Linked DNA regions of Drosophila melanogaster. The protein of the gene in region 1 purifies or fractionates together with the protein of each later gene. This does not show direct contact. Each region holds a gene or a part of one and is shown in the gene's direction. Other genes may lie near its edges.

Region 1 (5,088 bases):
TCGGACAGCTAAAATATGACAATTGCTTTGCAAGAGTATAGTAAATAGCAAAAGAATTAATAAGTTATGAGTAATCAGACAGCGACTAGTGCCACCAAATACTCACTCTTCGATCAGTGCCACATCCGCACTATTTGGTTGGCTTGTGCTGGTGTCCTTGATCAGCGTCACAGCCGTTCCAATGCCTCGGGCTACCACACCCACGTCGCCCTCCAAATCGAAGCACTGGGTATAGCCGATGACTGCATTAGCACCCATATTAATAGCCTTTAGGCCCATTCTCCTCTGCACCTGACCCGACAACTTGAGAAACACCACCTGGCGAGCCTCGTTGGAAGCACGCGGTGTGCGTATTTTGTCGATCCACTGATACTCCGGATCGTCATTCACCACCAATTCCTCGACAAAGCCATGAATCACTTGGGCGCGGTAGCCAAATGGCACACACTGAGCTGTTGGAGATAAAAGGATAATTAATAGACCATTTCTTTAGAGAATATTTGTCTGCTTATACAGTGAAAGAAGGGGATGCCGCAGGAGCTCTGACGGAACTTGTTGACGTCCGAGAACAGGTCAACCTTCACAATCACATTGATCTCGCCGCGAATACCGTGCATAGTGTCGAAAACAGGAATCCAGCCGGATAACACGGTACCCTTGCCGTGCACCGCTTGACTAGAGCTCTCCAGGCACAGAGGATTCAAACTGATGTTGACCTTTCCAATCGCATCGTTCGCAGAGTACGTGTCGTAGTCCATCAGGCGGATTTGCAGGGGCTCATCCTGGAGCTCAGCGTCGTCCACCTCAAAACGGAACCTATCAGAAAGCAAATGTTACAATATATGGAGCTATTGAATGGTCAGACCTCACCAATCGGTATTCCAGGTGGGATTCAAACTCTTGCGGAAGACATCCGTCTTGTGGGTCACCGAGGCCAGTTTGATCTCCACGAAGGCGTCCGTGGTTTCGCTGCTTTTGTCCATCACGGGCAGGTTGCGCGCCGCCTTAATCTTCACCCCCACCTTGCCCGGCATCCTGTCGCACTCGCCTGTCGTCCCTTTTCACCAGATACCAGATTGTGACCACCGAATTTCGACCAAAGGGTTCACGTTTTATCTTGTGTTTTCCATTTTTCCCAGTGCCAAGTGTGGCCGTGGTCCGTGAATTGCAAATTACCTACAGATTAGTTACTTGTGCTGGGACTGCTCAATGTTTTAATTTGCTTTTTTGAATGAGAGTGGAGCAGTTTCTTAAATCATTAAGCAATAATCATCTTAAGTGTTTCCATCAATTCTAAACTAACTACTAGCGATCACCATTCCAACTAAAATTTGCTTAAACTCATTCCCTCCGGAGTTTGAATATATCTTTAATGCATGTTTATGGACTAGACTCTATTTGTTTGAACTATAAATTAATTCATTACGTATTAACCTGTTTTGTATATTAACTCTTGGAAAATTATAATAACAAGTTTTCATAGCTATATTGTCGCTGAAGGATGACAACACTGGCGCAAAAGAGCGACGAGTGGGCAGCGCTGCAACAAAAATCAATAGTCGCCGCCATATTTTTTCACTGAATGAAGACCAACGCGCTTCGCACACCGAATAATGTTAAGTTAAATAAGTTATTTAAGATAAGCTACTGTTGAAAGTGCGCCGAGTGACCAAGTGACCAGTAAGCATCAATAGAAACGATTAGTCGCTAGCAATAGTTCCTCGAATCGTCAATCTGCGGCATCCTAACGCTGCTTCTTCTTCTTCCTCCGGCTTCAGCAGTCTTAAAATCCGCGTCCGAGTGCGAAGAATACCAGTGCAAGTGGTAGTGCGTGTGATCTAGTGTACGAGAACAGCGAGAGAGGAGCATGGAAGGAGGCTCAGTGTCCTCGCCATCGATGGGCGGTCCACGTGGAGGCGGTTTCCGTGGACGGGGCGGTGGAGCGCCTATGCGCGGTGGCTTCGATCGCGGACGTGGTCGTGGCGGTCGTGGACACTTTATGGGTGGCATGCGCGGAGGCGGCGGCAGCGGAATGGGCGGAGGACCGCCCATGCAGGGCATGATGTCGGGTCCTCCGAGGGGAATGCGTGGATCCCGTGGTGGAATGGGCTATCAGGGACGCGGCGGCGGTTATCAGCCGCGTGGTGGCGCTCCCATGGGCATGCGGGGCGGTCGCCCACCTTTGTACTCGCAGCGTAAGTTTCCGCAGACAACCCTCGACTTCCTGCCATACCTTGTAAATCCAATCCAATCCAATTTAGCTCCCAAACAACACACAGGTGCCGAGAACAACAAGACCGTATCACCAGTGCCCACCTCGGCGATCAGTGGAGAACAGCCAGCGGTTGAAGCAGCCGGTGATGAGGTCACCGATGGCCAGACATCAGCGGTCGTCCCGTCTTCGGGCAACTCGCATGGCGGCAGTTCCGCTCCTGGGGGCAGCAACGGAGGAGGACCTCCTCCATATCTGGGCCGTGGACGTGGACGTGGTGGTCCCTTCAGTGGACGTGGACGTGGTGGCGGCGGCTACAATTCGCACATGAACGGCAGTGGAGGCGGCAGCATGTACGGTGGCTCCCACAGCCACCACGGCAATTCCATGGGCGGCGGTCCGGGCAGCGAGCACGGTTCGATGCCCAGGCGCGGAGGTCCTCGGGGCAGGGGCGGCTACAATCAAGGTATGAGTCGGCCACCCTTGCATCACCATCAGGCACATAATCCCAATACACAACTTGCACCGGTACCAGCTCTCAAACGCGGCGCTCCCGGTGGTCCTGGTCCCAAACGCGGTCGCTACGAGGGCGGTCCATATGGCCAACGGCCCATGACGCCCAAGTACCATTCAACACAGCAGCATATGGGTGGTGGAGGAGGCGGCGGCATGTCTTCGCAGTCCTCTTATGGCTCGCCGCCAAGTCACCATGCGCCACAACAAAGGTAAGGCATCGAATTTTCAAATATTATATAATCAAATCAATATAGTGCACACTTTCTAAATCTGCAAAAATAATTGGTACATTTTTTGACGCTGTTCTTTATCAGCCATCACAGCTATCAGACACACGAGCAGACCCAACAAGTGGACCCCTACGCGCAGAGCGGTTACAGCACCCAGACCACCCAGCAGGGATACAATGGCTATGGCCAGAGCGGTAGCAGCAGCTATGCGGCTCACACATCGCAGACAAGTGCTCCGGCGAGCAGCAGCTACGGAGCCCACCACAGCACCGAATACGATCAGAGCCAGTATCAGAACTACAAGTGGGTTACCTAATCTTGACGTCTCTCTCTCTACGTTTCTTGCCTTCAATTGGGCCACGCAAGTGCTAATGTATTGCTTTGTGCTTCCAAACAGCTCGACGGGCTATGCCGCACCGCAGGATACACGGTATCAGTCGTACAGCCAGGACTACAGCCAACAGTATGGCTCGACTGCAGTGGACTACAATGCTACCGGACAAGCGGACTACAGCCAGCACGGAGCGCAAAGCACTGGCTACGATGAGCGTGCCTACGCGGGTTATGGTAGGTTATTTCAGTTCCCTCCAGTTGCATCATCCGTCATCGGTGTCTTCTTTCAGATTCGCAGGCGTACTCGCAGAACTATTCAAATGCAGCCGCCTACTACTAAACAACCACTTCCCACTCCCACCCCTGACGGCACACTAGAGAACAGAACGCTGCGCGTGCTTCGATAGGCCAAAAAACCAAATAAGAAGGGACTAGGGCAGAGTAACATGGAAGGGAATATATGTTTAATGCAACAATTAACTTGCTATACATAACACGCAAACACACACATACGCGGTCACTCAAAGCATACAATTTTAGTTTTAAGTATAAAGTTCTCTTTTTCTTAGCATTTAAGCAAACTAGTGTTTCGACGTCTTTCTACATAAACCCCCACCCCAAATTAACATCCCCCTTTGTTTCCGTTTCGTCTCCCCATGAGTACTGAACAGATATATTGAAATAATCCGCCTTGCCTGTTGTTTAATGTTCTCTAAATAGACAAACGGAGCTAGACTGCACTGAGCTCCAGCCTAAGAAAATTAAATGTGCTCCTCCTTAGTTCCATTTACAATTACAAGTCAACTGTGACCAAAGTATGCTACAATCATATTTTTTATATGACGGAAAAATGAGAGTACGTAACATGATCTTTTGAATGAACTAAATTTAAACATTTTGTGAATCATGTAAAATTGTATACAAATGAATGCAATGTATATTTTAGTTTTTAAGCTGAAAACCGCAATCCACTCTCGACACAATTATTTTCTATCCCACATGCATCTGAAAGCGTTTATGATTTTGCAAGATTGTGTTTTTTTCTTTATGAATGACAAAAACGTGACAAAAGCGTGACTTATTACTTTTTTGTTTTACAAAAACCTCTTATAGTGACAATTTAAGCAAAAAAAAAAGTTCGTAATAATGTAACTCCTTAAATTTAAGCTGAAAAAAAAAACAAGTAACGAAATACACAAAGTATATTAGAAAAAGATGCAAAAACCATAACCATAATCAAAGTCAATAAAATAATGTTCAAAAATGTGTTTAATGCATTAAACTTATTTAAGCGTACATATTATTATTTAAAATATTTTGTTTAAAAGAAATCAATCAGTAAAACTGCAAATTATTAAGCAAAACAATCAATCAAAAGACGAATAATGAGTGAAAAATGTGAAAAAAAAACGTAAGACTGAATATATTCACGAACCGAAGCTGCACTGCAAGCATACAAGTCAAGAAAAATGAGAGACAAATGAATGAAATAACAGAGTTTTAAGTATTTACGAAACGATTACAACAAATACATAGAACAATTAATCGCCAAGCGATTATCAAAGTGCCAAGTATACCTGATCAACAAAACTCAGGATAAAAACTAAACGAAAATGCAATATACCGAATGCGTTATGAAAATTCAAGGACATCAGTCAATCAAATTTTTAAGATAGTGTCGCGAAAATATATTATCGAGAATTTTTACCATGATTGAGCTTACACGTACCATAACAATTCAATTAGATAAATATCTAAAATTACAAACTGAAAGCACTGAAAGTACAAAATGAAAAT
Region 2 (4,997 bases), 8.1 Mb from region 1:
GCAAACGTCATAGTGTTCGGCAAACTTGTTTAATTCTTCCGTTTGAATGGGAGCAACAGACAGGCTAATGCCTTTCGTCCAGTCCGTGTTCGCCAGTTGGTTCCATACAGTGCGTGCCACTTGGTAACTGCTGCTTGACTGATGCAGAATGCGCTGCGTATTTAGGTACACAATAAAAGCGGCTAAGATGTGGGCACCAAACCCACTGTAACCTATGTCCAGTTGCCTCTGACGCAACCATACTTTAAGGAGCAGCAGGCCGTCCTGAAAATTACGCCTGCTCTTAAAGGCCTTATCCAATTGAGCCTGGTTCTCGGACAAAGTTAGATCAAACAGTACGTTTGCGTTGTAGTGTTGGGTGGAGGGCAGCGGATCTTTCTCGTCCCATTCGTCACCGTAAAACGAGGGCCGAATATTGTTGTTCCAGGGAACAAATCTGCCTGGCTTAAAACTGCTTAATGGGGCAGTGATGAACAGACGCACTTGCAGGTGCTTGTTTACTTGCTTAGTAACTGGGATCAATTCCAGAACCGGCTTAAGCGGGTTGTTAGCATAGTAGTTGAAATTAAACTGATCTTCTGCATAATCTGGGGACTCCATCATCCTCTCCGTCACATAAGTAAGATACAAAGCTCGCTTCTGGTCATAGCGAAGGTTTAGGTAATCTTCTTTGTGCAGGGATTCTTTTGGCATCTCCAGGGCCACATCCACTACAATTTTGGGACCCAGCAAAGTGCCCGTGGCGGCGGCTCCGATCAGATAAGGTTCCCTGGTGGGCTTGGAGAAAACAAATCCGGTCGGCTTTTCAGAAAGCTTCATTGGAACTTCCAAGTGGGTACGCTCCATCAAGCCATCCTTTAGCTGTCGGGTAAAGGCCGTAAAGGATTCAAGCCAGTTTTCAATGAAATCTGTGTATTTCTGCTTTAACTGCAGCTCCTCCAGCATTTCCTTAACTTGAAGCTTAAAGAGATTGGAGTGGAAGAGATTTTGGGTGTCTCGTAGCTCCTTCATCTCCTCCAAAGTGGGCGGCTTTACATTCTTGGTACCTTCTCTCTGCTTGAAGTTGTTCTTCTTTGGTATGGCAGTGGATGGTGGGTCGCTCTTGGCGATTTTGGGTTTTGGTTCATCAAGGTCGCTGTGATCCCCGGCATGTGCAATTGCTTGGGTACCTGTTCGAGCAGCTCCCTTCGGAGAGCCCACCTAAACAAAGTATGTTATAGGCCAAATAGTTTCCATAAAGATCTAGACAATCTTACCAACTTTCCTGGCATGATGTTTCCCTGTACAAATCGCATATAATATAAAATTTATTTACTTGTTGGAGAGAGAGCTAAACTCGCACGTGTTGCAGATGCGGTATTTCAGAATTCGGTATTTCATTAGAGGTTTTTGTATGGTCACCCTAGAACTGGGCAGATTCGTTTTTTAGTCCCAAATCAGCCGCAAAAACAGTGTCGAACGTAATTATAATTAAAATATTGAAAAGGTTTTATACACTAAATAAATTAGAGCAAAATATATTGCATGGTACACAGTTGTTGAATAAGTTACAAATTTAGACAATGTGAAGTGTAAATGTCTATACCAATTGCCGAGAAATCCTTGGATCCAGGACCAATAAATAAGATAAAATTTATAATATTATAAAAACAAATTATCAGTTAAACGCGAAAGATATTACCGTGGGCCTATACAGTTTTAAAGAGTAGATAAACAAATTTACCGGCTAATTGGTTTCGCCAGCAACAGTATTTTAAACAGTATTTTTATTTCATAATTATGTTTAAACATCTTTTATGTAAAGAGGGCTTTAGGTAAGTTCTGTCTTTAGCACAAGTATATAAGTATCTGTTTAAAATAAACGGGAAAAGCTAATTAAATTATCCCATTTTTCTTTTACCAGTAATCAGCATTAAATCAGCCTAGAGTATTTCCCTCGTTTTTCTATACGGTCTTACTCCGTCTCTGTCCATGTATAAGCGTGTGTGTGTGTGTTTGCAGGCAGGGGAAAAAATCGCACCATTTTTCTCGTGCTCTCTTGCGTGCGTTTTTTGGTCTTTCGAGGATTGTTTCGTAGAAAATCAGTTAAACACAAGCCCAGCTTAATTTATAAAAAGTAGTGAACTAAGTTGTTATCCAGAAATCGACGAGCGCACAGTAGCAAATCGAGTTGCAAATTTCAATATTCGGTCCGAACGTGTGTAACTGTGTCTGTGCGTGCGTGCGTGCGTGTGAGAGTGTATGGGTGAAAAATGAGGCGTAATGAAAATGCGTGCAAAACTGTATAAAAGGTAAATCGGCAGTTAAAAGTTGCCTAATTAATAAAGCCCACAAGTCGTTCATTCCGTAAAGATCAAAGCAAACCTTATAAAATGATGCGTTGGCAGAAAGGAGGCCCATTGAAAAAAATATGGCCAAAAGTCGAGTAGTTACACCCTCTCTGCCTCTTTGCCCCTCTGCCTTTCTTGGTTTTCTCTCTCTTATTCTCTTTGGGTCTTTGGCCATCGCCGCCTTGGCTCGTTTTTTGCATCGAATAACAAAACTTGAAAATTTATAAAAATAAACGAAATCACGTACGGAAATATTTACTTCGACCTTGCGGCCCCAGAGATTTTTCCAACAATTTATACGGCGCGGTGGCCATGGCAGCTAATTAGCCTAATTTTCTGTAATTTTCTAAATTTTAATTTGGTACCTTTTAGAAGAGAGTAACTTTCATTTGTGCGACGATGACTTTAAAAGTTTTAAGTTAAAGTCAATAGTAACTCTTACTAAATTAAATGAAAATCAATTGAAAAAAAAAAACAAATTTAGTTAGCGCTCTCATCAGTGCTTTTAGTGTGACCAGCATACGCTATGGCTGGCCTAACATACCAAAAGAAATACCGCAGTTTCGTACATTCATTAGTCTATTTACTATTTTTATTATCCATACAGAATGAAAAATGTTTAAATCGTCGGTAATATGAGTTTTTTTATATTTTGTATCAGTTAACATGATCTTTCGTCAAAACATTCAAAGCGCTTGGAATTAAGACCGATCTTTACGTTTACAATTTTGTTTATTCAGCTCTTTTACAATTGCTTTAACTTTTCCATTCTTATTTTTCAGATTGCTTTGATTTCCACGATCGTGAGCATTAAAAGTTTAGGCGTGATACTGACCGGTTAAATTTCCCTTAATTGAAATTTAACTACATATTTAAACAGCAACATAGTCCCTTTTGCCTAAAATGTCATCAAAAACTGGGAGGAAAAATATCATAGCAACAATCTGAATGAATTCGGAGATTCAGATCTGTTGTCACAAAAATTGTTGGATAAAATGTGCGAAAGTGTGTTTGTCAAATTGTTTAGCCAAAATTATTTGTTTACATAGTTGTTCAGCGTAGCACGAGGCTGTTTTCCTTAATTCTTAACAACATAGATACACTCGCCTTGGCTAATTTACACCGGAACCTAAAGCCGATTAACAATAGGAAAATAGTCCTACGACAAATAGCCCGCCTTTTGACATATGAACACATAACTAAACTACCACACAGCTCACCAAAAACATAAAATAAATTCGGAAAGTATAGCACCAAAGCTGAAATTTCAAGGAGATGCTGCTCAAATTTCATACTTGATGTCAAACAACGACGACCCCATAGCAACAACAACAACAACAGCAGAAAGAGAAGGAAAAGGAACAACTGGAATAACTGTAAGCTAGCGAACAGAGGGAGAGAGGCAATCTCTGTACACACACCTGTCGTCCAGCGGGGGAAAGAGCAAAAGAGAGCGACGGATCTCCCGTGTGTGTTGTTCGCATGCGCGACATGCGCGGACGCTAAGTGAGTGTGAGTGAGTGCGCGAATGCGTGTGAGTGTGGGCGGTGAGGATAATTCGCTCAATTCGCACGCATCCCACAGATCCTGCAGATCCTCCAGTTTGTTCGTCAAACAGAGTCAGCATTTCGGATCAAACCAGTTGCCTGTCAGCAACATTAACAGCCTCAACGTTGGAAAAAAAAAAACAAAAGCAGCAGCGGCAGTCGATAAAAAAATCATTATCAAAATTACGGAAAAGCGATCAAAATTCAAGCGAGATTAGCTAGGCGAAATGCAGCGACGAGAACGGCAAGCAAGGTGAGTTATGATTGTGTAATTGTATATCGATTATCCCCCAAATTCATAAAGAGGTAATGGTTCTAAGACTCTTTCAAAAATTAAAAATTAATCCTACCATTTAAGTTGGCATTGCTTTTGGCTACAGTATTGAAACCCATTTATAGTTTTCTATTGTCAATCGAAAATCAAGATAAGCGAATCTAGCCCACTGGCTTTATCCCTGCTTTTGAATCTGAATCTTTTGTACGCCCCTTAGCTATACCTTCCAACTCCAAGCGGTACTCAAATTTTGACTAGAGACCATAGGCTTGCGACTATTTATAATTTTGCATTGATAAGCCGTGCTAAAAAACCATTGCCACTATCTACGGAAGCGACGTCTGTTCTCATAAATGTTCCATATTCGGTACTACAGTACACTGTTATCAGGCGTAGAAGCGGTTGGATATTTTGATAGCGATAAGATTATGGCTGTGTCGGGAAACGCGTGTTTGCAAGTTTTAAAACCTAACAGTTTTGATTTGGTTGGCTTAGTTAACCAATAGAACTAGCTTTTCTTTCACTCATAAAACTTTTTAAAATATTAACGAATGCAAACTGCGAATTTTTAAAGAAAATGAGTCTGGTTTAAAATAATTTTATTTCGTTTAACATAAATAAATTTCCATAAAGCTAATTCCTTTTAATTTCCTAGCGAATACTGTACATTGTCAAAAGTTCAAGCAACAGATTTAGTTGTAGCTGCCTTTTTTGCCGAACGATTTTATTTTTAGCAAAGAGATGTTTCTATTTAAACTTGTGTGTTTGATTTTATTTTATTTTCGCAAGTGTTTTTGTTGCTTTTGGCTTATGGCGTCTGCTTTTTCTCGCCTCTGGCACGCCAGC

The links. The genes of interacting proteins can lie anywhere in the genome.
Region 2: the proteins of CG5746 (region 1) and gish purify together in Drosophila melanogaster (affinity purification with mass spectrometry, with the first as the bait; one large-scale study listed by BioGRID). This does not show direct contact.

What each region holds. Positions count from the first base shown.
Region 1 is NT_033777.3:24,345,254-24,350,341, reverse strand, and holds CG5746 (uncharacterized protein), read left to right. Parts: upstream 1-1,550; 5' UTR 1,551-1,680; exon of another isoform or gene 1,681-1,778; 5' UTR 1,779-1,867; coding exon 1,868-2,195; intron 2,196-2,261; coding exon 2,262-2,937; intron 2,938-3,042; coding exon 3,043-3,261; intron 3,262-3,355; coding exon 3,356-3,525; intron 3,526-3,581; coding exon 3,582-3,631; 3' UTR 3,632-4,550; downstream 4,551-5,088. Other genes in the region: CG6454 (uncharacterized protein), read right to left, coding at 107-452, 515-816, 871-1,034.
Region 2 is NT_033777.3:16,271,040-16,276,036, forward strand, and holds the start of gish (gilgamesh), read left to right. Parts: upstream 1-1,961; 5' UTR 1,962-2,291; intron 2,292-3,112; 5' UTR 3,113-4,104; coding exon 4,105-4,130; intron 4,131-4,997. Other genes in the region: Mat89Ba (maternal transcript 89Ba), read right to left, coding at 1-1,200, 1,257-1,295.